4 linked regions of the Rattus norvegicus genome follow. The protein of the gene in region 4 purifies or fractionates together with the protein of the main gene of each other region. This does not show direct contact. Links are inferred from orthologs where the notes say so. Each region holds a gene or a part of one and is shown on either strand. Other genes may lie near its edges. The genes, in order: Iscu, Sdhaf1, Sdhb and Hscb.

The links.
Region 1: the proteins of Hscb (region 4) and Iscu purify together in Homo sapiens (affinity purification with western blotting; 3 studies listed by BioGRID and IntAct, with this or other methods). This does not show direct contact. The link is inferred for Rattus norvegicus from reciprocal best matches to the Homo sapiens genes HSCB and ISCU.
Region 2: the proteins of Hscb (region 4) and Sdhaf1 purify together in Homo sapiens (co-immunoprecipitation; 3 studies listed by BioGRID and IntAct, with this or other methods). This does not show direct contact. The link is inferred for Rattus norvegicus from reciprocal best matches to the Homo sapiens genes HSCB and SDHAF1.
Region 3: the proteins of Hscb (region 4) and Sdhb purify together in Homo sapiens (co-immunoprecipitation; 3 studies listed by BioGRID and IntAct, with this or other methods). This does not show direct contact. The link is inferred for Rattus norvegicus from reciprocal best matches to the Homo sapiens genes HSCB and SDHB.

The regions. Positions count from the first base shown.
Region 1 is NC_086030.1:48,511,625-48,517,332, reverse strand, and holds the end of Iscu (iron-sulfur cluster assembly enzyme ISCU), read left to right. Parts: intron 1-45; coding exon 46-159; intron 160-903; coding exon 904-1,014; intron 1,015-3,136; coding exon 3,137-3,215; intron 3,216-4,016; coding exon 4,017-4,102; 3' UTR 4,103-4,481; downstream 4,482-5,708.
Region 2 is NC_086019.1:94,702,419-94,707,486, forward strand, and holds Sdhaf1 (succinate dehydrogenase assembly factor 1, mitochondrial), read right to left. Parts: upstream 2,194-5,068; 5' UTR 2,168-2,193; coding exon 1,811-2,167; 3' UTR 1,244-1,810; downstream 1-1,243.
Region 3 is NC_086023.1:158,545,707-158,552,051, reverse strand, and holds the start of Sdhb (succinate dehydrogenase [ubiquinone] iron-sulfur subunit, mitochondrial precursor), read right to left. Parts: upstream 4,119-6,345; 5' UTR 4,099-4,118; coding exon 4,027-4,098; intron 1-4,026. UniProt on the Homo sapiens protein: Iron-sulfur protein (IP) subunit of the succinate dehydrogenase complex (mitochondrial respiratory chain complex II), responsible for transferring electrons from succinate to ubiquinone (coenzyme Q).
Region 4 is NC_086030.1:51,479,221-51,485,768, reverse strand, and holds the start of Hscb (iron-sulfur cluster co-chaperone protein HscB precursor), read right to left. Parts: upstream 4,427-6,548; 5' UTR 4,399-4,426; coding exon 4,166-4,398; intron 1,436-4,165; coding exon 1,339-1,435; intron 1,074-1,338; coding exon 984-1,073; coding exon of another isoform or gene 979-983; intron 1-978. Other genes in the region: Chek2 (serine/threonine-protein kinase Chk2), read left to right, coding at 5,855-6,182.

The sequences.
Region 1 (5,708 bases), about 3.0 Mb from region 4:
GGAGAGAGGAAAGCCTCAGTGATATCTGTTGATCTGCCATTTCAGGTTGTGGATCATTATGAAAACCCTAGGAACGTGGGGTCCCTTGACAAGACATCTAAAAATGTTGGAACCGGACTGGTGGGGGCTCCGGCATGTGGTGACGTCATGAAACTGCAGGTACTGGCTGGATGAAAAGGATCACCCCCTGCACCCCAACAAGAAGTTTGCTCACAGAGCATTTCATCTTGTCTGCCATTCCTGTGAGGAGGGATGGGCGGCTGACAAGGATGGGTCTCTGTTCCGAAACAGGTGGCCTCATTCTCCACAACACCACCACACCAAGGCATCGGTAGATCTTGCTTTCACCGAGTGAAAGACTTTGTGACTGTTCTGACCAAATGAAGGCCCCCAGTGAGAAAAGGAATGTGTTAACCAAACCTCTCCAGGAAAAGGAAGCGGGGTGGAAGGTGGTGGGCTGGGCCTAGGTCAGCTGGAGTTTTAGCTCAGCCTCAGCCTCCTTAATGGCAGGCAGAAAAGAGCTGTTAATTACAGTTGGTGCCCAAGAGAAAGGGATTGATGGAGACCTTGGTTACAGACTCTGTCAGTGCCTGAGGTGCTGATGGGGGGACATCTATAAACAGACCCCTGCAAAATAGGCACTCACATACAGCAGGCAAGGGCCGAAAACAACCAAGCGGGGTGAGGGGCACTGTTCCTTGCCCCTCTCCCAGCTGAGCCTGTGTGGACCCCAAGTTTCACTTTCTGTCGCCAAGTCCTTTGAAGCAAAACACAGTGATGAATGTCATGGCATGTGGAGTCATAGCAAACCAGGGCTCGTGTGGAACACTCACCTCTGGAAGTTCCCGGCTCCCGGATTCCAGGTGTCAAGCTGTGGCCTCTCAGCTCCCGTCTCTTTTCTAGATCCAGGTGGATGAAAAGGGGAAGATTGTGGATGCCAGATTTAAAACATTTGGCTGCGGCTCCGCCATTGCCTCCAGCTCCTTAGCCACGGAGTGGGTAAAGGGGAAAACGGTAAGGCTGCTCAGAGAGGGAGGGAGGGAGGGAGAGAGAGAGAAAGGGGGGGGGGAGCCCATTTTTCTAAGGTTTAATTTCTCTTCCTACCCGAGCACTGATTACATTCCTTACTCTGGAAGTTTAAGACCATCTTGTTGCTTGAGGCAGTGTGTTAGTCACTGTTGTCACTGGTTGCCAGTTCAGTAGATGAGAATCGCCACCAGGCCTCCCAGCAGTAGAACTGAAAGATGGTTTTGGGCTTTCCCTGATGTCCCTAAGGTCACCAAGGTCCCCTAAGAGCTCCTGAGCAGCATTTACTGTTTGTTTCATCCCATCTCCTCCTTCAAGGAGGAGTCCAGAAAGACATGCACAGATTGCAAAAACAACTTTGTCGGAGGGAGGAGTTGGAATTCAAAATCTGGGGCTGGAGAGATGGCTCAGTGGTTAAGAGCACTGACTGCTCTTCCAGAGGTTCTGAGTTCAATTCCCAGCAACCACATGGTGGCTCACAACCATCTGTAATGAGATCTGATGCCCTCTCCTGGTGTGTGAAGACAGCAACAGTGTACTCATATACATAAAATAAATAAATGTTTTTTAAAAAGAAGCTAAGGAGCATTTAAAGAAAAAAAAAAAAGACCCAGTAGCTGTGAAACTACCCACACCAGCACAAGGTGGTGGCACACGGCACACCAACCTGTAATCCCAGCTCATAGAAGGAAGGGGCAATTTTTTTTTTTTTTATCTTTATTAACTTGAGTATTTCTTATTTACATTTCAATTGTTTTTCCCCTTCCCGGTTTCCAGGCCAACATCCCCCTAACCCCTCCCCCTTCCCTTCTATATGGGCTTCCCCTCCCCATTACCACCCTCCCCCCAACAATCACGTTCACTGGGGGTTCAGTCTTGGCAGGACCAAGGGCTTCCCCTTCCACTGGTGCTCTTACTAGGCTGTTCATTGCTACCTATGAGGTCAGAGTCCAGGGTCAGTCTATGTATAGTCTTTGGATAGTGGCTTAGTCCCTGGAAGCTCAGGAAGGAGCAATTTAAAGATCGCCCCAGACTGTATGGGACCCTGTCTTAAAGTGGTGTGCTCACCCTTTGCCCCCTCCTGGGGCCCAGTTCAGGAAGCTCAGTCATGGATTGCTGTGCTCAAAACGCCAGCCAGCTCTCTAACAGCCACCTGCTCCTCCAGATTCGGGCATCTGGTTATTGAACTCCTGGAGGCCAGGGAGACCCAGACCTGCTTGTTCTGGGAGAAAATGGCTCAAAGGAAGTTGGTTAAGAAGCAGCTTTGGAGAAAGGGGAAGTGAGATTGGGCACCTGCTCCCAGGACCTGGCCTTTCAGGGCTCTGAACTGTATGGTCAGACAGTAGGAAGACCTTCTCTAACCTCGAGGTTCCCGTCTGAAGGAGACTAGCTTTTCTTTTTTTTTTTTTCTTTTTTTTTTTTTTTTTTTTTTTTTTTTCCCTTTTTCTTTTTTTCGGAGCTGGGGACCGAACCCTCAGTACTGACCTTCACGGGTGGGTGTGGGAGGAGGTGAACAGACAGACAGACTGCCAGCGGCCATTCTTGGTTTACGACTGAGCTCAGCCATCACCTTTGACGGCCAGCCCACACTCCCTGGGACCTGATCTCTGTCCACAGTGCCCCCTCTGTCCCAGCCAGGAAGGCAGGACCGTCCCAGTCGGTGTAGCAGGCGCACACTCTTGGGTCTTTCTGATTCTAGTTCCCTCCAGCTTACAAAGCTTGCCAGCTTACTTGCGTTTGCTAGGCAAGCGCTCTACCACTGAGCTAAATCCCCAACCCCGAGACTGGCTTTTCTTAATGCATAAGCAGGCCTCTCTGCCTCTCATCCCTCACAGCTCTCAGACCCAGGCCTCCTCAGGCAGACATTGCATAGCAGCCTAGGCAATGCCTGCCTTCAAGGGGCAGCAGGTCTTGTTCTTGCTTACCCAGCCAGGCAGCGCAGGTGTGTGTCCCCCCACTACAGATCCCTTGGTATACAGTGGCAGTCCTGCCCAACAGTGTTGAGTTACTTAGCAGGAGTTTTCCCAGACAGCCTGTCCTGAGGTGTGTTCTGCCCACCCTCAGCAAGGTCAAGTTCACTGAAACTGCACTTTCCTCCCTAACATTTCAGGTGGAGGAAGCCCTGACCATCAAAAACACAGACATCGCCAAGGAACTCTGCCTCCCGCCTGTGAAACTGCATTGCTCCAGTGAGTGCCCCGCATAACAGGCAGCTCGGGTCTGCTCAGAGTGCGCTGTGCCCGCCACCCCACACTCTGTGCCTCCCCAGTCTGTCTGCAATGCCTGGGGCCGTGGTACACTCACTGCACTGTCCCACAAGAAGCCTTGCACCTCAGAGCCTGCAGTCAGATCTGACACCTTCCTGTCCTCTTAAGCCTCCCCAAGAAAGCAGGAACGCAACATCACCCTAACATACTAGGCTTTCTGCCACCTTCCAGCTTCTCACCCACACCCCACCCTGTAACCTCACCCTCAGTACTGACCTTCACGGGTGGGTGTGGGAGGAGGTGAACAGACAGACAGACTGCCAGCGGCCATTCTTGGTTTACGACTGAGCTCAGCCATCACCTTTGACGGCCAGCCCACACTCCCTGGGACCTGATCTCTGTCCACAGTGCCCCCTCTGTCCCAGCCAGGAAGGCAGGACCGTCCCAGTCGGTGTAGCAGGCGCACACTCTTGGGTCTTTCTGATTCTAGTTCCCTCCAGCTTACAAAGCTTCTCTTCCTTCACCACCTCCCAGCAGGGAGATGGCCACCCAACCTGAGTTAGAACTTCTAAACCCACCCCCCAAAGTTGTCCTGTGACCACCACACGTGCCAGGCACATCCACCCATCACATACATGTACAGGCGCATGCATATATATTCTAAATAGATACATATTTATAACAACACACAAATATGCCATGATGTGTGTATAACTATAAAATGTGGAGACCACCCCTCCAGTGTCTAGAAATTAAAGCTGTCTACCTTTCCGTGCCTTCCAGTGCTGGCAGAAGATGCCATCAAGGCTGCCCTGGCTGATTACAAACTGAAACAAGAGGCCAAGAAGGACGAGCCGGAGAAGCAGTGAGCCCTGAGGACGCTCCAGCCGCTCACAGCAGGCCTCCTGCCACCCTGCACATCAGAGAAGCTACGCAAAACGCACACTACTCACTGTTTGCACTATGGCTCTGATACAAGCAAAATGTGCCGTTGATTACGCCTAATCCTGTGTTCCTTTCAGCTCACGTGTGTCCTTAGTGCAGTTGATGTCTTGATTGAGTTTGTGACCTGGGACTGAAATCAGCACCAAAGTCTTAAGCTCTGGAGAGTGACAGGGAGTTGTACCCAAGCTGCGGGGAGACGGCCAGCAGAGCACCTTGTGCTGGCTCTGATAGGATCTATCACTGTGTGTTTAGCAGATCTGCGTGTATATTATAATAAAAAATGGAAGACGATGGTTTTCTCTACTGAACCTGATTCTCGACTCCCTAACCCACCCCTAGTGCAGCCAAGCGCCTCAGGGTTCCCAAGGCCAGACTGCAGTGGGTGACAGCAACAGCCACTTAGCTTCTTTTGAAAGGCTGGAGGGGACGGCTGGTGTTCTTTATGCTGGGAAGCATGGTCAATTCACAAGGACTCTGAGCAAGCGTTCCTGCAATAATCCATTGGTCCGTGAAAGTCAGAAAGTAACCCCAGAAGCTGGCCCCTAAGCCTGTGGACCAATCAGGAAAAGCATTGGGAGATTACACCGTTGTACTCTAGGCCCAGGCCTCCAGCCTTCTTCTGGCAAATGGTTCTAACCTCCCAAGGCCTCCCAGGCTTTGTGTGGTGGACAGTGAACTGAAGCTGACTGGAGAAGCTCATCCGGTGCGAGTGTGTGTTTCTCACGTTCAACTGAAACAAGTACATGCACTGCCGTAGCCCTCAGTTCCAGATACACACACTGACTCCAACATTGGTAGCAGCTGCTCCTCCCCTGAGCTGCCCAGTTATGTAGCTCAGGGAAGGGCCCAGTTTTCCAGTCTTGGCATTGGGAGATGCAGCGAACTTCAAAAGCAAACTGTTTTCTGATGGTGGCTTTCTTGTCCAGGCATACACAGGCTGACTCTTAAATCATCCTTTAAAATATTCTGGGTTCTGGTGAAGGGCTCAGAACTTCAAAGGCCACTTCCTCCACAGTTGGGAGGAGACCACAGCCAGAGTCCATCAGAATCTCAAATTAGCCCCTGGGTGGATCCATGTCAAATTGTCCTGAAGGGCGTGTTGTAACTCAGTCCCTTACTTGTGGCAATGCCACAGTTCCCCACCCCTATTTCTGATTTTAAAATGAGACACTTCTGAATTCCACACATCAAGTTGCTGGCACGGTCCAACCCCGAGAATGTGAGGTGCAGCCCACAAGTCCAATTTCTGTAACTTTCTATAAATTTACTCTGCAATCAGGTCAATTTGGGACCCATGTACTCCTCACTGAACTAGTAAGGGGTTTGTCACAGTCTCCATGTGTGTCTTGGAACTCTTACATGCAATGGCTATCTGGGTCTGGGAGTATCTTTCGTTTCTTGCATCAAAGTACTCTTGCCTCGGCCTCCTGAGTGTGTCATTACGAGCATACGCCATCATGGGTGGGTCGCATGATTGGTTTTAAAAGGCAAAAAGATCTCTGAGGTCCCTCAAATTTTTCTCCATTGCTG
Region 2 (5,068 bases), on a different chromosome or scaffold from region 4:
CTTTGTCCATTCCCTAGTGGCTAGAGTGTCTATCAATTTATAGTCAACAGGATAGCTCTCCCTTTAAACTTCCATACTTAAGAGTCCCCAGGAGGGCTCAACTGGTTTAGGCCGTGTGTTCTGCCTTCAGGAGGGGCCAGTCAGGTCTGCTGGAATCATGGGGGCTAACCATGGGGAAGGGAGTGTGTCTTCAAAGTAGATGGAATGGCTACTGGAAATGCAAAATCGGGTACTGAAGAGGCCTGGGGAACAGTAGCTTCTAGGAAAGCCCACATTAAGATAATGCAAACCAGTAGCTAAGGGGTATATCAGGGAATCTGTCATCATGGTCTGTCTTCCTAAATACATCTATCTCTACCTACCCACTTATCTACCTACCTACATATCTGTGTGCACACAGGCAGATGGACATAGATTGCCATAGTTCTTTCTCATCTCCTGTGTGTTCCCTGGGATTTAAACTCAGCTAGTCAGGCCTGTCACCAAGCTCCCTTTTCCACTGAACCTTCTCTCTGGCCCCCTTTCCTTCCTTTTAGAGACAAGGTTGCTCTATGTAGCTCAGGCCCTTGGGGCCAGGAGATGAGACAGGAGACTGGGATATGTCAAGGGTACAGGTTGGGTAGGACTTCAGTAGTCACTTTCAGACCTGGAGTTGAGATGGCACCAAGATCAACAGGGTCACCTTGGGGTTGGAAGAGAATCCCAGTGGTTATCTCACTTGCTCAGCAAGCACAAGGCCATAAACAGAGCAAACACAGATTAGCATGTGTTGTGGTAGAATGAGCCTGTAATCTGGAGGTGAACGGAGGAGTTGCAAGCCATTATCCCTTACATGACCAGATTGAGGCCGGCCTGGGTTAAGTGAGTCCATGTCTTAAAAACAACAAAAACTACCCAACCAAGATCACCTTGCTAAATAAAACCGAAGCTGAGAGATGAGCAGAGAGCTAACATCCTATGGCAGGAGGGTGGGAGTGATGTAACAAAGTGAGATAAAAGCCATATGAAAACAGTGTCACAGGCTCTTTATGTCACACACCAAGCCTCAGCTGGGGTTCCATTTTCCTCCCTTTTGTTCCCGCCTGCCTCTCCAACCTTGGCATGGCAGTACGTGCCAATAATCTTGGAGTTCAGAGGCTGAGGCAGAAGGAGCTGACGCTGAGAGCAGCCGAGGTTATATTCTAACAAGACCCTGTCTCAAAAGAAAAAGCAAAGGCCCCTAATGAAAGAATCAACAAGATTATTAAGACAACAAGGAAGAAAGCACACCTCACATTTATTCCCTTTATACAAGAATCCTGAGGAAGACTGACAAGAATAGGGGCTAGGGATTCTCCAGAAGTCTCAGGCTCATCAGCTGGGGTGAGTTACTGTAACCTCCCTTACAATCCTGGTTCTTCACAACAAGTCGGGCAGTGGTTTTCCAAACCGGACCGCGAAGCTTCTCATGGTTCATCAGGGTGTTCCATTAAACATGCACGGCAAAAAGGCCGTTTTCTCGGCATTAAAAACAGCAAAAGGCAGGGAGTGGGGAGGTGTATGTGTTCTTAGAAGTCAAGAGAGGTGTCACGCCCCGAGGGGAGGAGAACGTGAGTCTGTGCTCTCTTTGACTTTGGGTTGGTGAATCCCAGCATACATTGTTCAGCCAGCCGGTGCCACCGGATGCCCGGAACCTCCTTGGTGAGGGAGTGTCTGACCTCTCACCATGCATCGAGAAAATTCCGTTGTCTCTTAAGACATCTCAGCTTCCATTTGGATGAGTTCCCGATCTTCCTCCCAAACTGTCAAAAGGAACCTTTCTCTGGGTCTGTCACCGTCCATCGGATCGCGTTTCCCGTGCTCCCGTGCCTTCACAAGGATTCTTTAGGGCATCACTATCGTCCAGCCTGTTCCCCGGGGCTGTCGCGTCGACGGGTTCTTCAGTAGGGCCCCGCGGGCGCACGAAAGTACCCATGGCCGTGGCGTGGCCGGAACGCAGCAGCTGTAGCTGGCGCCGTCCCCGGCGATACAGATACTCGATACGCAGCACGTCGGAGCGCGGAAGGCTGGCGTGCTGCCGGAACTCGGCCCGCACCCGTGCCTCGGCGCCCGGCTTCCCGCGCCCGGCGCGCAGCAGTTCGCGGTACAGGCTCAGAACTTGCCTCTGCAGCCGGCTAAGCCGGCTCATGACCGCTGCGTCGCGGTCAGTCGCCCGGACCCTACCGGAAGGACCGCCCCGACAGACAGTGCTGAGAAGCTAACGGGCAGGGCCACAGTCACGTCCGCCAGAAGTCCCGCCTCCTGCTAACCGGTGCCGCCGCATCCGATTGGCTAGTACTGCAGTACGTCGTGGCGGCCCTGGAAGTGGACCGGGTCTCTAGTGCTCCGGTTCACCCTAAAGGGTAGTCTTTGAGTGGCCTACAGTCCTGGTTGTTTCTGAACTTGAGTTGAAGCAGGGGGCAGAGCCTAAGCGGTTAGATGTTAGAAGAGAATAGGAGGAGATAGTTCTGAGTCCTGGGAGGACTGGGAGCGAAGAGTTCGAATCCGGGAATAACCAGGGGGCATAGGGATATTGGGAAGAGACAAGCAGTTTTTAAAAAGATTTTTACTGTTTGGGGGGCTGGAAAGTGCATAAACTGACGACATGACCACTCCATGGTATGGTTAAGGGAAAGCTGTTTGTTGAATTGTTTGTTGTAGATATGAGAGAGAGGACAGCCAGAGACATCTAGAAGAGTCCAGAATAGACAGAGGAAGTAGATTGGACATAGCCAGAGCTGTCTGTGAGAGAGGAGAAAATAGTGTTGGGGTTCAGGATTAACCACACAAATCACTGGGTGACACCAGTGTCAGTAGGGTATCGAGACGGTTTATTGAGCACACATTCCAAGACTGATTAATCAGGCATGCAGACCTCAGGCAGTTCTCAGGGCCAGTTTTTATATGGGGGAAACCCCTGAACAGATGCATTTGGCTCTCTTGACAGAGCAGCACTGTCTGACCTTTAAGCTCATTGGCTGGGTCTAGAGGCAGGAAGGCTAGGAAATCCCCAGAGGTCTCCAGGGAGGCTCTAACCGACAACATGATGTTATGGTCAGGGAACATTAGGTCAGGTTAAGGTCATGAGCCACAAAATGAAGGTTGAGGCAATATGGCAGAACCGTTGTCAGGTTTAACCCTTAACAAATAGCAGGAGATAAGGCTGCAGGCTCTTTGTTTTATTGACAGGCCCCACATGTAGCTATACATCCCTTCTAGAGGTGAGGGAAAGGATGCCAAGTTTCTCAAGTTCCTGAGCTGTGCTGGCTTTGTTTCACCACCAGAAATCCTCCTGCAGTCCAGGGTGAGCTCATTTCTGGATATTTGGACTGCCCTTTGGAATTGGGGGAATTGGAGTTTCCCTTGGAGCTGACAGAAAGTTCAGCTTTTTTCTTTTTTTTTTTTTTCTTTTTTTCTTTTTTTCGGAGCTGGGGACCGAACCCAGGGCCTTATGCTTGCTAGGCAAGCGCTCTACCACTGAGCTAAATCCCCAACCCCCGAAAGTTCAGCTTTTAAATGTAGCCAGTCTCTGTTACTTTGTGGGTTTTTCTTTTTCTTTCTTTTTTTTTTTTTTTTTTTTTTTTGGTTCTTTTTTTTGGAGCTGGGGACGGAACCCCGGGCCTTGCGCTTCCTAGGTAAGCGCTCTACCACTGAGCTAAATCCCCAGCCCCATGGGTTTTTCTTTATCCCACCCTTTATCCCTGCCCTCCATTCTACCCCCTTCACTAAATAGAAGAGAAAGAAGGGGAGAGGAGAGGGAATGGGGAGAGAGAGGGGGAGAGAGAGAGAGAGAGAGAGAGAGAGAGAGAGAGAGAAGGACAGAGAGAGAGAGAGATGGAGTTACAGCTTGTAGTGAGCCAACATGGTATGGGTGCTTGGAATGAACCCAGGTCCTCTGGAAGAGCAGTCAGTGCTCTCAACCACTCAGCCCTCTCTCCAGCATGTATGTATGTGAACACATTGGACAGGCCAGAGGAGAGGGTCAGAGCCCATGAAGTCTACAGGCTTCACCCATTGTGAATCTAATGGGTGCTGAGTGTAGGAGAAACAAGGCAGCGGTGGACCGACTCCATTTCAGTAGGCTGCGATAGCTTCATTGAAACATTTCTGTGGGATGAAGGTTGGGTGCATTTAATGGCGATGGGGGACATGTTTATGTGCACACACATATATAGGTAGCCACGAGGAACTTACAGGGATCTTTTGTAATTTGGCTGAGAGCAGAGTGGGTTGTTTTTCAATACCCAGGCATATTGTTTCTGCAGTTGGAACAGAAGACTGGGGCTGAGCCATCTTTTATGGCTAAAGGCTGTGTCAGGAGCCCTTTGCCTGCTTCTCTGAAGCAAAGAGAGGTGGAGTGGGGAGGGAGGGGAAGAAGAAGAGGAGGAGGAGGAGGAGGAAGAGAGGAAGGGAGAAGATCGAGGGAAGGAGGGAGGGAGGGAGGGAGAGAAAGAGAAGTCGGCCTGCCAAGCAGAGTCAGGGTGGGTCAGGGTCTGTTGGCAGATTTCCTGGCCTGCTGAGGTATGGGATGATAAGAGGACGTACACTTGGAGCTCAAGGCTCAGGGCTGAAGATTCTGTTGACCTTGGTGGAAGGAACATGGAGGCCTTTGGATGGGAACAGATGTCCTGTGTATATTTCAGCAGTTGTTTCTATTAGCTTGTGGCTTTGCTTCCCACAGTACTGCGAGGTATAAAAAGGCTATAAAAAAGAAACTGGAGGCTGCTGCAGTATCGGCTGGCAGTCCTCCCAAATCTATCTCTTGTCTTTGCATCCTCTTTCTCTCTCTCCCAGACTCGTCCTCACTCCCCACACAGACTGTTCGACTTCCGTTGGGGCCAGCGCAGGGCTATTGCCCCACACAGCCTGATTCAATTCTAATGACCTGAGACTATTATTACCCAATACTGAGACTTGAACTCAGGTCCTCTGGAAGGACAGCAAGTCCTCCTAACTGCTGAGCCATCTCTCCAGTTTCCTCCCTTTGTGAAAGGTGCAGGGCCTTGCCATGTTGCAACCATGGGAAAGTCCTTACGAACTCTTGGCCTAG
Region 3 (6,345 bases), on a different chromosome or scaffold from region 4:
GACGCCCCACAATGCCTGGTTTATGCGGGTACCGGGACGATACAAACATGCATCCTACGCCCTCTTCTGGACTCTTGAGATAATTTTAGATCACATATATCTGTAATAGTATTGAGATTCTTCCTGGATGAAAACATCTTACTATGCAGTTCAGGCTGGCCTTGAACATGCGGCAAATCTCTGATTTCTGCTCCTGAGTACCAAGACAATACTACATACCCAATTATGGCCCCATAGTATGGAAGACCAATTCAGCAGTACCCTCTGAGGGCAGGAAGAGCTCAGTTGACTCCTAGGCCTGCTGAAATGACAGGTTACCTGCAAAGGAGCTTCATCGTCTTTCTCCTATTTAAACATTTGTTTCTATAGAGACATTTGATCAGGCACACTTTTCAAAAGGGACTAGGGTCAGATTGAAATCAATCAAGGATATTTATTTACTTTGAGATGAGGCTCACATAGCCCAGGCTGGCCTCAAATTTATTATGTAGCCAAGAATTACCTTAAACAGCCAATTCTGCATCCACCTTCCATGGCTAGGAATCAGCTAGTCCTGTTGTTTTGAGACAAGGTCTTATATCCAGCCCTGGCTATCCTGGAACTTGCTAGTAGAGCAGACTGGCATCAAACTTACAGAGGTCTGATTACATGGCCTTATGAGTGCTGGAATTAAAGGTGTATACCACCACACCAGCCTATTTTTATTCTCGTGTATGCCGTGTGTGTGTGTGTGTGTGTGTGTGTGTGTGTGTGTGTGTGTGTGTCTGAGTATATGCCATGTGTGCAGGTGCCTGAGGTAGCCAGAAGATGGCACTGGATCTGCCAAAGTTGCAATTACAGCTGGCTGTGAGTGACGGGACATGGGAGCTGGGAACTGAACTCAGCAAGTGTTCTTGAGAGCTGAGCCATCTCTCCAAGCCTAGATTTGTGATTTTCAGAAAGATGGCAGGAATCACAGCATGCTTGTGTACCTTGCATAACCATGAGGGCAGAGAACAGCTATGAATCGGTGAGGGGACAATTAGCAGAGGGCCTTGGTGAACAAATGAGGAAAGACAGGATGGACATCAGGACACGTGGTATGCTGGCCCAAGGAGTCCTGTTAGCCTGCCCTGAACCCTGGTATTAGGAAGGAGAATGAGCAACCTCCTCTTGAGAAACCTGTGTACATTCATGGTCTTTCCCTCTCCCCTAATGTCTGTGCTTAAATCTATATTAAAACTTTTTTTTAAACAAAAATGCATTTGGATTGTGTGCATGGTGTCGGTGGCGAGGATGTGCTCATGTGGAGGGCAGAGGAACACTCTGAAGTAGGTTCCCTCCTTCTGCCTTCATGTGGGTTCTAGGGACAGGGCTCTGGTCATTAGATCTGACCAACACGCCTTTTCAGCCACCAAGCCATCTCCTCGGCTCTCAGAGCTTTTCCTAATAAACCCTTTGCTTTTAAAAAAAGGCCGCTCAGACAGGGAGATGGGCTGTAGTGTGAGACTTCCTTCCTCTCTCTCCCTCCCTGTCCAGCAACTTATATGCCAGGTTCCCCATGGGAGTGGAGACTGTGAACACATCTGGCCCTCGATCTATGACTCCAGTGACTGTGCCACGAAGGAAGAACGTCTCTAGATAATCCTGGAGAAGATGAACTTCCTCTATCTTCCGCAGGGGCAGGCCTGAAGCTAGACATATGACACGGCCACCAGGAAGGAAGGTGGGCAAAGGTAAGAAGGCAAAGCCAACCCTACAGACTCAAGGAAGGGGCAGGCTTGTATCTGAAGTGTGTTAGTGGGATCCAGCCCTGTTACCTTCAAGCTGCGAGTTCTTTAGAGAATCTCTTAACCAGTCTGATCCCACTTCCTCCAGTCTAATCTCACTTCCCCCTTTGCGAAGGGGAGGGTGGTATGGATACCCACTTCACAAGGAGCAGGCCAAACTACTGGCACAGCTCAGGAAATGATCTGTTCCCATGAGTTCACAGCAATCACAGGAGACTTGGAACCAGAACGGAAAGTCCACAGCAAGCTCAGGACGGGGCTTTTTGAGCACAAATATACCTTCCCACAGGGAGGAGGCCTCTCTTACTCTCACTACCCTAGAAAGGTGGGTAAGGGCCTCTCCTGAAATCCTAATGCTGACCTTTGAAACCAGTCTCTTCTTCACTTCGTTCTAGAATGCCCCGCCTGAGCCTGAGAACTCACTCCTTACAGTGAGGCTCTCATAACCTCACTGCTGCCTCTGCAATGTAGAAAGAGGACAGTAAACAAGGTCACCCGGAATTATTAACTGGATAACCTATCAGGAGGCTCCTCCCTCAAGAAAACTGATACACCCCCTTTGTGCGGTCACTGATTGCTGTAGCTTTTAAATTAGGGGTGGGGCCTGGTGAAATTTCTCCCATTCATGCTTGCATGAACTGGTGTCATTAGGATCCCATGTTCTCAGCCCTAAACACTTTATGCATAAGGAACACTAAATGCACTTAAAGAGATTGTGTACGTATATATTTAGCCATGCTAATTAAAGAAGTCATGAGTTTGAAAGGGAGGGAGCATGGGAGGAGAGAGGGGATTGGAAAAAATTTAAATACAGTAGTCATGCATGAAATTCTCAACAACCAAAACAGGATCATTAACTGAATACTTGGGACATCAGCCTGAGGCTCTGGTAGGCACTGTCTGTTTTTGTTGTTGAGACAGGGTCCCAAGTAGCCCAGGTTGGCCTTGCACTCCATATGGGGCTGAGGATGTCCTTACACTCCTGATCTCGCTGCCTCAGCCTCCCGAGTGCTGCTATGATAGGTGTGTATGCAGAGATGCACAGGTCCACACCTTTCATCTCAGCATTTACTCCCATGTGCTGAAGGAGGAGGATCTCTGAGTTCCAGGACAGCCAGGGTTGCATAAAGACACTGTCCAAAAAGCCAAAACCTAAGCAAAACAATAACACTGTCACAGGCTGGAGATTTGTCCTAGCAGTTTGGAAGGAGCAGAGTTCAGTTCTCTGCACTCGCATGGCGGCTGATAACCACCTGTAACTCCAGTTCCAGGAAATACGGCTCCCTCTTCTCCACAGGCACACGCATGGTGCCTATACATAACTCCTACGTACAAATGGAAACATCTAAACAAAACAAAACAAAACAAAAAACAACCCACAAAAGAACCTGCCCACGATCTACAGTTTACAAGAAAGGGGGGGGGGGCGCTCAGGTTTTAAGTCACTAAGAAAGTCTCTCTCGGAGTTCCTGTTGTCCACCTGTGAAGGACTGTCCAGGAGCCCAGAAGAGGACTGAATGGTATTTGTAAATCTTTAAGGAGAGGCAGTTTCTCTCGCCTTTCTAAGTGCTTCCACTGTGTACAGCTCCCGAGGATAGGGCGTGTGGGGAGACCTATGACAGAGCCACTACAGTAGTATTAACAAAAGCAGCTCCAGGCTCTGTCTGTCATCCCATGCCATCCGTATGAGATCAGTGCCGCTACACACCCTTGAATAAACACACTTCAGGGAACCGGGTCTTGCTTGCAAACTTCTACAGTCCGCATCTTTCAGGGGTTGGGTCGTTTTCTTCTATGTCTTCCTTTCCCTGCGGGTCAAGTGCATTGTCCTCCAGAGTTCAGCGGTCTCCGACATTACCGATGCAGAACAGCCTAATCTGGAGTTGCGACCTGGTCTCCCGGGACCCGTCCCAGACAACCCGCAGGCCTCCCTTTTACACAAGGTTGGTCGAGTGCAAATATCAGGATTTGATTCTGGGTTCCAACAACAGGTCGCCCATCATATGACCTTGACCAATTCGCTTGTCCTCCCTGACCTCTGCCTTTCCGTTATCTTTTCCAACCTCCTCCCGGCCGCGACTCTCCAGCTTGGGAGAAGCGCGGGTTGGCTATCTGAAAGGATGCTCAGGGGCAGGGAGCTGGTAAGTCCTCTCCTGAGGCCTGGACCCGGGCTCTTTCCGCTTCTCCGCGGACTCTCCACCCAGGCAGCCTCGGTGACCGGCACGGTTCCCCACTGAACTACGGCTCCGGGGCTCACCTGCAGGCCGACTCTGCCGAGAGCCGTAGCCGAAAAGCCGCGCTTCAAGGAGACCCCGACCACCGCCGCCATTTTGGCTCCTGACGTCAGCCCCACCCCTTACCCTCCGGCATCCCGTCGAACACCGCGGTGGGAAGCCGGCCTCTCCCCTTGAGGTCCGCTAGCAGCCTAAGAGCCAACGAGTGGAAGGCAGCTTCCGGTATCCCGAGTAAACGGACAGGAAGTGCGAGTGTGCCGTAGCGGCCAGTAGGGCGCATGCCCACTGGGCTTCCTATGTTCCTAAGGTGACCTCTGGAGTCGGAGCAGCGGGAAAGAGGGAAGGTAGCCTGGAGGGGTGGGGCAAAGGCCAGGAGGGGCGGGTCTTTCCTAGTTTGCTGAAGGCTGTGATTTTAATCCCTCTCTACTTGCAGTCGTGTCTGTCAATCACCTGTGACTCTTGTCTGATCAGTTTTGTGCTAGAGGACCCGTCAGTCCCTCTCTGAGCGAGACAGTTGGCGAGCGATTGAGGCGGTCACAAAAATGAATGTCAAAGGTGTCGCTCATTCATTTATTCATAAATATGTACGTAAGTTGCATGCCTGGAATCCCAGAAATTGGCATGTGGAGGCAGTAGGAGAATCAAGCTCATCCTTGGCTACTTAGTGAGGTGGAGGCTATCTGGGATACTTGAGGCTCTGTCTTAAAACACACAAAAACAAAACCAAAGCAATCAAAAAGGGCACCTGCTGTGTGGCTGGCGCCAGGCTCTGGGGTGCTGTGGTAAGTGAGTTAATGGCTCACATAATTCCTTTCTAACCTTGAGGAAGATGACAATAGGACAGAGGAGTAATGCAGCTTAGGCTGGACACCAAGGAGACAGAGGCTGTCCACTGTCTTGAACTTCAGATCTTCCCGTAGGTAAAGAACTGCCGAGAGCTGGGATTATAGCTGTGTGTCACCACGCCTGGTAGTACGTGCTGGACAACAAGCACTCTACCAACCCAGCTGTGTCCTCAGATTTTGCTTTGTCAGTTTTCTTAGTCACCTGAGCTGCTTAAAGAAGAAAAAAGGGGTTGGGGATTTAGCTCAGTGGTAGAGCGCTTGCCTAGGAAGCACAAGGCCCTGGGTTTGGTCCCCAGCTCCGAAAAAAAGAACCAAAAAAAAAAAAAAAAAAAAAAAAAGAAAAAAAAAGAAGAAGAAAAAAAGTCTTGTTCATTATATGAATATACTGTAGCTGCCTTCAGACACATCAGAACAGGGCCTGTTATAGATGGTTATGAGACACCATGTTGTTGCTGGGAACTGAACTCAGGACCTCTGGAAGAACAGTCAGTTCTCTTAACCAATGAGCCATCTCTCCAGTCCACCTGAGCTGCTTTTTTCTGGCACTTTTAATGGGTTCTCTCAGAGCCCTTCTGACTGGGGATTTGACCACTTTGGGCAGGTGTGATCTTGCTATCCCAAGTCACTTGATCTCTTGAGGTACCCAGTGACTTTGCTGGTCCCAATTACCAGAGGAATGAGTTTATTACTTTCCGCTCACCTTTGGCAGAGGGAGGGCACTGTTTATAGTCTTGGGTTTCCTCACTCCCATCATTTAGAAGCCACTGGAGAAATTACCATGACAGGAGGAATGGTTAGATGAGGCCAAGTTTCTGAGAACTCACCCTGATTCTGATTTCCCTGCCAGGTGGCCTCATTAAAAAGGGTGTGGGGAGTCCTGAACCCTTGGGGTTACCTAGATTGCTCCCCTCAAGGCCATGTGACCTTTGACAACTCTTTCATCACTTCTGACTTATGGTGTCCTTGCCTGAATCAGTAGGAGTTGTGCCAGCTGATTATGATTAGCATGGTTGTCTTGTGCAACAGATGGCAAGGTTACCTTGGCTTCTTAGGGGGCCTGGCTCAGGGCTGGGATAGTTTCTTCTAGGCTACCCAAGGGACCATTGGGGCCACCCAAGTGGGCCAAGGTTGTAGGAAGACTGTCATTTCTTTGTAACTCCTCCAGGCAGTATTTCTAGAGAACTGGTCTCTTTAGCCATTTTTTTAGCCACCATGTCAAAGGCAGACACCACCCCTACGCGAATGGCCACCCTTTTTTTTCCAGGTCACCTTGGAAAAAGCAGTCAGCAGCCAGCAAAAGTGAGACTTTGATTTACAGAGGGGCTCCTGGTGCCAGTAGGCCCACACACCCTGCCGTCACATCATTCCTGGGCTTCATGGGGATTTGGGAAGCTCAACGTTATGGAAGGATAATAAATTCCTGGGCTGCTCTACCTCCGCCCTAAGCTTTGGGGTGCCAGAAAGGCACAGAGGCCATAGGATTTAAAGGTCTGCATG
Region 4 (6,548 bases):
GTTAGGAAACACCCAGGGTTATATAAATCCCGTTTACTCCTTCAGAGTACATTGGTACTCATGGTGGGGGGTGACCTTTGAGTATCAGGTAAGATGGAGCCCAGAGCCTAGTACATGCTAAATATGCACTGTATCACAGAGTCCCAGGTCCAGCCTGGGAAACTTGAGCTGTCCTAGCAATAGTGAGCGCTTGTACAGGACCGCACTCTGCTGCCTGCAGCCGGGCGCTGGGTGGTCACGCCTCTCCTCAGGCGTTAAATGTTTATAAACATTCTCCTCAGTTCTAAAATGGTCTAGGTGTTCCTGCAAAAGAGGCTCTACACGTACTCTTTATCATCAGATTTATAGAAAAGAGTTAAAGCACTGCAAACGGGGGGTGGGGGTGAGGGTGGGCGGTGGGGTTAGGATATGTAAAAGGAACCAGGCCGGGTGGTACACGGCTGCATCACACGTTACTCAGCAGGCCAAGGCAGGAAGATCACATGTTAAGTCCAGCCGGGGCAGCTGAGCGAGACCGGTTCAAAAGGTAACAAGGCAGCTGGGGATATACTACAGTGGATTCAAAACCTGGTACCATCAAAGCAAACAAACAAACAAGCAAGCAAACAAAAGAAAACCCAGTATTGGTCATGCAGGGCCAAGGCACAGTTCAGAGCACTTCCTTAGCCCGAGGCACTAGGTTCAATACCCAGCACTGAAGGAGAAAAAAAAAAAAAAAGACTAGAAAGGAGCTGGATGTGGGTGCGGTGAAGCAAGAGAATTAATAAGTTGGAGCCAGCCTGGGCTACAACGGTGAGATTTCTTCTAAAGGAAACACACAAAAGATGGATGTACAAAGAATGCTAAGAAAATTATATTGTATAAAACCTTTTCCTTTCTTTCCTCTCCTGTAGTATTTTTGAGGTAAGTATCATTAGCTTCCTGGACTAGGCCAGGTCTCATACAGAGGAGTCCCAGACAGATGGGTTGAGAAATCACCTTACAAGATATAGTCCTCTGCTCACGGGGGCCTGAAGAGTCTTGTAGGCATCATTCACCAGGGTCGAATGCTTCTCCGAGAACCGTTTCTCAGTCTGCTCATAGAGGTAAAAACAGTTTTATTATCACCAGAGCCAGTCAGGCTGGTGTGTTTTTGTTATCTGGGAAGCCAGATAAAAGCCGGGAGGAAATGACATCTTTGGGGCCTGCCTGTCTAGGGGCAGGCTGCCACAGGGTGGAGCTAGCAGTCCAACTCTTTTCCAGAGTAACGGAGCGACCCACCCAGTTGTGCACATACATGGGGGATAGTATGCAGGCGCGCATGTGTGTGTGTGTGTGTGTGTGTGTGTGTGTAAATACCTGAGACTTTTGGCTGAAGAAATCTGGGTGGACAAGGCGCTGTAGTTGCTGGTACCTTTGTTGAAGTTTCCGGATGTCAACCCTGAAGGATTGGTTGCTGGAAGGAAACCAGATGTTATTCATGTAACAAAAGAGTAGTTTCACCAGCTATTTACTAGGGGCTGGTCTTGCTCTTGGGGAGGGTATAACAAGCACATAAACGAAGGCTGCTTTTAAGACGAGGTAGCTGTAATGAAGGGAAACGGAACAGGCTCGGGAGAGGTCGTACAGGTATGACATCTGAGAGGAACCGGATGAGCAAAGATCAGAAAGGGACATTAAGGGAGACACTGAACTGACTGGAAGGTCGGACAGCTTGACACATTAAGGGATAAGGTCGGTGTAATGCATGGTAAGCTCTCAGAGGGTCGGTCTCTGGCATGTTGGGCAAAGACTTTAGCACCAAGCCACTCCCTTCACTCTTCCTGACTACCAGACCTCTTTTTACTTAAAAAAAAAAAAAGACTTATTTATTTATTATATATTAGTACACTGTAGCTGTCTTTGAATACACCAGAAGAGGGAATCAGATCCCATTACAAACGGTTGTGAGCCACCATGTGGTTGCTGGGAATTGAACTCAGTGCCCTTAACTGCTGAGTCATCTCTCTACCTCTAAGACAGATTTTTTTTAACTAAGGTACCCAAGTTGACTTGGAAATCACTCTCTGTATATCCCAGGCATGCCCAGATTTGCAATAAATCTAATTTAGCCTTCTTTTAGGTGGGATTACAGGTCTGTCACCGGGTCTGGTCTAGAGTGTGTGTGTGTGTGAGAGAGAGAGCGAGAGCGAGAGCGAGAGCGAGAGCGAGAGAGAGAGAGAGAGAGAGAGAGAATCAAGATCTTGTGGATTTCTTTTTTTTTTTTTTTTTTTTTTTTGGTTCTTTTTTTCGGAGCTGGGGACCGAACCCAGGGCCTTGCGCTTCCTAGGTAAGCGCTCTACCACTGAGCTAAATCCCCAGCCCCGATCTTGTGGATTTCAAGCTGCTATGTAGCCAAGTTTACCAGCTTAACTTAAAAAAAAAACCCAAAAAACAACAACAACAAAAAAAACCTAGGTGTTGCTCAATTGCCCAGGGTTGAAATTTTTGATACTCCTTTTTCAGCTTCCTGAGTAGTTGGACTTATAGGTAGAGACTACTACACAGGCCATTAATACCTAGAAGCACGTCTTTTATTTTTTGGTCTTTTTTTTAAAGATTAATTTTTTTTTATTATATAAGTACAATGTTGCTGTCTTCAGACACAGTAGAAGAGGGCATCAGATCCCATTAAAGATGGTTGTGAGCCACAATGTGATTGCTGGGAATTGAACTCATGATCTCTGGAAGAGCTGTCAGTGCTCTTAACCACTGAGCCATCTCTCCAGCCCCTTTTTTGGTCTTTTTAAAGCATAGTATTGGGATTTGAACCCAGGCCTTGGCTAATGCAAGGAAGGTTTTTATCACCAAGATAAAGTGAGGATTCTGCACTTCTTTCTTCTCAGGGAGTGATTCAGACTGACTCTGTGTAGTCTGCAGCTGGGTAGCCCAGATTGCAGGATGAAACCTGAACTCCATATTTTCTTGTTTTTGTCTGGAGGTTGGAATTGCAGGTGTGTACAACCACAGCTGGCCCTCCCATTTTACTTAAATCTGCTCATACTTCTCATATTTCTGTACCTCTCCAATCTTTCCCAGGTGGGAGTGGGTGTGGGGGAGGCAGGGATGGAGCAACGGCTCAGTGGTTAAGAGAATTGACTACCTTTCCAGAGGTCCTGAGATCAATTCCCCGCAACCACATGGTAGCTCACAAACATCTGTAATGGGATCTGATGCCCTCTTCTGGTGTGTCTTAAGACAGCAACAGTGCACTCATATACATAAATCAAAAAAAAAAAAAAAGAGGGGGTGGGGTGGGGCAGGTAAAGTACACTAAACACTTCTTGGTCTCCCTCAAATCTTCAGCCTGAATTAAATTTTCGTTTCTTGAGACAGGGTCTCACTGCTTAGCCTATGTTTGGCTCCCATGTGTGACCCTTCTCCTTTAGCCCCTGAATACTGGGATTCCGGATATAGGCTATTACACTTGGTTTGCTTTGTTCTTAACTGCACTTGGTTTTTGAGACCAAGTCTCATGCAGCCCAGAGTCTCATCAAACTTGTCTTATATAGCTCAGGTTGCCCTCAAATCCTTTTGAGTGCTGGACCCACAGGCATAATACCAACACACCTGGCTTGTTTTGTTTTTGCATTTTCCGTTAAATAAATAATTTATTTGAGATGTTCCCTATTTTTGTGGTTGGCCTCCAACTGGGGAATCCTGCCATAGTCTAGCATGCTTTTAAACCCTGCATTGGTGAGTCGGAGGGGGGCGGGTGACGAGTTCAGGGTGACGCTACGTTTTAATAAACCCTCCCCTTTTCTGCTCCCTTGAGTTTAGCCAATGTATTTCCCTTTTCCAGAAATCCCACCCCTCAAAACTCCCTAAAATGTAAACTCGTCCGTTTCCGTTTTTTGAAGTTTAAAAACAAGGCCCTTGTAGCAGAGGCTAGTCTTGGATTCCTGAACCTGTGTCTTCCACTTCTCAAGTGCTTAGATCACAGGCATACCTATGACCTATATACTTATCTAGCCTTTTAGTTGAATCAGTCTCCGCAAATTGTCTAAGCTAGACTTGAACTGTGGTCCTTCTGCCTCAGTTCCCACGAGCTGGCTGGAAATTACAGGCCCGCAGACGCCGCCCCAAGCCTTGATCTCTAGGGTTACGAAGCCTGAGCCGCCCTCCAGTCACACCGCGCCGCCTGTACCAGTTCATGAGGCTGAAGTAGTCCCGAGTGGGGTCAGGAGGCTGCAGCGCGCGGCAGTGTGCGCAGAAAAACTCATCCCCACGCCCGGCTCCCATCGCGCGGCCGCAGTTCCAGCATTGCGGCTCGATGCTCTTTCCCGAGGCGGCATTGCTGCTCAGCAGGCTCCTACCAAGGAACCTAGCCAGTCGCACCTCCCACACGCACAGCAGGGACCGAGCCCTGCAGCTCCACATTCGTAAGGCCGCCTGCTGGCCCGGGTTACCAGACCGGAGAAAAGGGAAGAAAGTGGCTCGCTGCTGATTGGCTAGGGAGCCGAGGAGGCGGGACCAGCTGCGGGAAACCAAGACGCCGAGTCCCGTTTTGGAAGCTAAACTACAACTCCCAGAAAACCTAGAGGCTGTGCGGGGGAAGCCACCTTTGGGCTTTCTTATTGGTCCTGCCGAGGAGGAAGGCCTTTTGATTGGCTGAGGGTGGAGTTTGTATCGGTAGGTTTAGCGCCACACCACTGGCTGCGGCTCTGGAGTGTTTGTAGCTCTTGGTGGTCTTGGGCGGTGAGTCATAACTGGGGAACTTTCTGTTTGAGTGTTTGAGGATTCGAATACCGTTCTCCGGTTATTTGTGCAAATGGGCCCTCCGCAGCTTCCGCTTTGTCTGCTTACTCGTGCGAGCGAGGGGGCGCTGTGCATAGGCAACCCTTTCTTTTTATCTGCCCTTCTGGGGGGAAGTTCACTTTCCTTGTTACTTGCGAGCTGAAACAGGTCTGGACACATAGGAAGGTACAACGCTGGGCTGTTTGGTGCCAGAGCGAAGTAGTTTTCATAACGAACATTATAAATGTTCATGCCAGCCCCTAGATTGCTTTTTCCCAAATACCAACTGAGAACCCAATCTTCGCTGCTAGGCTCTGCAGGAACTGAAGAGGGTACGTCAGCGTACTCAGCATACGTGTGGGGTAGGATGGCAAGGAATGGATAGGAGACAACCAAACAGCATCTGTACATGAAGGAAGATGGTCTAACGCTTTGTAAGTGGCCTCTGTAATTCTATTCATAATCCTGGGATTTTGCTGTGGTCACTTTTTTTTTTTCACCCATCATTGGGCCTGCCTTTCTTTTTAAGGTGGTCATAATGTGCCTGTTCCTTTAAACTTTTATTTAAAAAAAAAAAAAAAATCACGTGTCTGTGTCTAAGTTTGTGCAGTGCACACGGGGGCCAATAGAGGGCACTGTATCCCCCAAGAGCTGGAATTACAGGTGTTTGTGATCCTCTGGTTGTGGGTGCTGGGAATTGTACACTTTTAACTGTCTTCAGTTTGGATGTTTGACGATACGGGAATGGGATCCAGTGCTTTGCATCTGTTGGAGAAAGGCTCCACCATCTACCATTGAGTTATAGCCACATACCTAATTTTTGGGTAAAGATTCACTTTACTTTTAATTATGTTATGTGGGTGGGAATGTATACATGCTCTGGTGCTTGCAGAGGCCGAGATCTACTTCAGATCCACCGGAGTTGGCGTTACAGGCAACCTTGAGCTGCCAGACTAGGTGTAGAGAACTTACTGAACTTGGGTTTTGCAAGAATAGTATATGCTTCTTCCTGCCCAACCAATCTCTCCAGCTTCCGTTCTTTACTCTTGAGTCCTGAGCCTTGTTCCTTATTGTTGGATTCGTGCTCTCAAGGTCGGATATGAAGAGTCATCAGTCCCACGGCAGCACCTCCTCGAAGGCTCATGACAGTGCTTCCTGTTCACAGTCTCAAGGCGGCTTCAGCCAGTCCCAAGGCACCCCCTCTCAGTTGCACGACCTCTCACAGTATCAGGGTGCATCCAGTTCCTCCACCAGCACAGTGCCATCCTCCAGCCAGTCCTCCCACTCCAGCTCTGGGACCCTGAGCTCTTTAGAGACAGTGTCTACTCAGGAACTCTGTTCTATTCCTGAGGACCAAGAACCGGAAGAGCCTGGACCTACTCCTTGGGCTCGGCTATGGGCTCTTCAGGATGGATTCTCGAATCTAGGTAAGGCACTTGGTAATATAATATATAGTGCGTTGTCGAGAGAAACAGTCAGGGAAGGTGATTAGGTTGTTGTAGCAGAAACCTCAGGGCCCCTGTAACTGGCTGTGGTGGAGAGTGTCTCCTCCTGGCTGCCACTTCATACTGAGGATCAGATTTGGGCCTCTCGCATGGTAGAGAGGTTTTAGACTAAGCTATCCCTGGCTCCCTTATCTTTATTTTCAAATAGAATCTTGTTAGATTTCATAGGCTGGCCTCAAATTTTTTTTAAAATTTTCTTCAGAGAAAAAGGTCCCATGTTGTCCTGGGTTAGCCTTGAACTCACTACGTTGCTCAGCCTGGGTAATGAACTCTTGGTCTTCCTGCCTC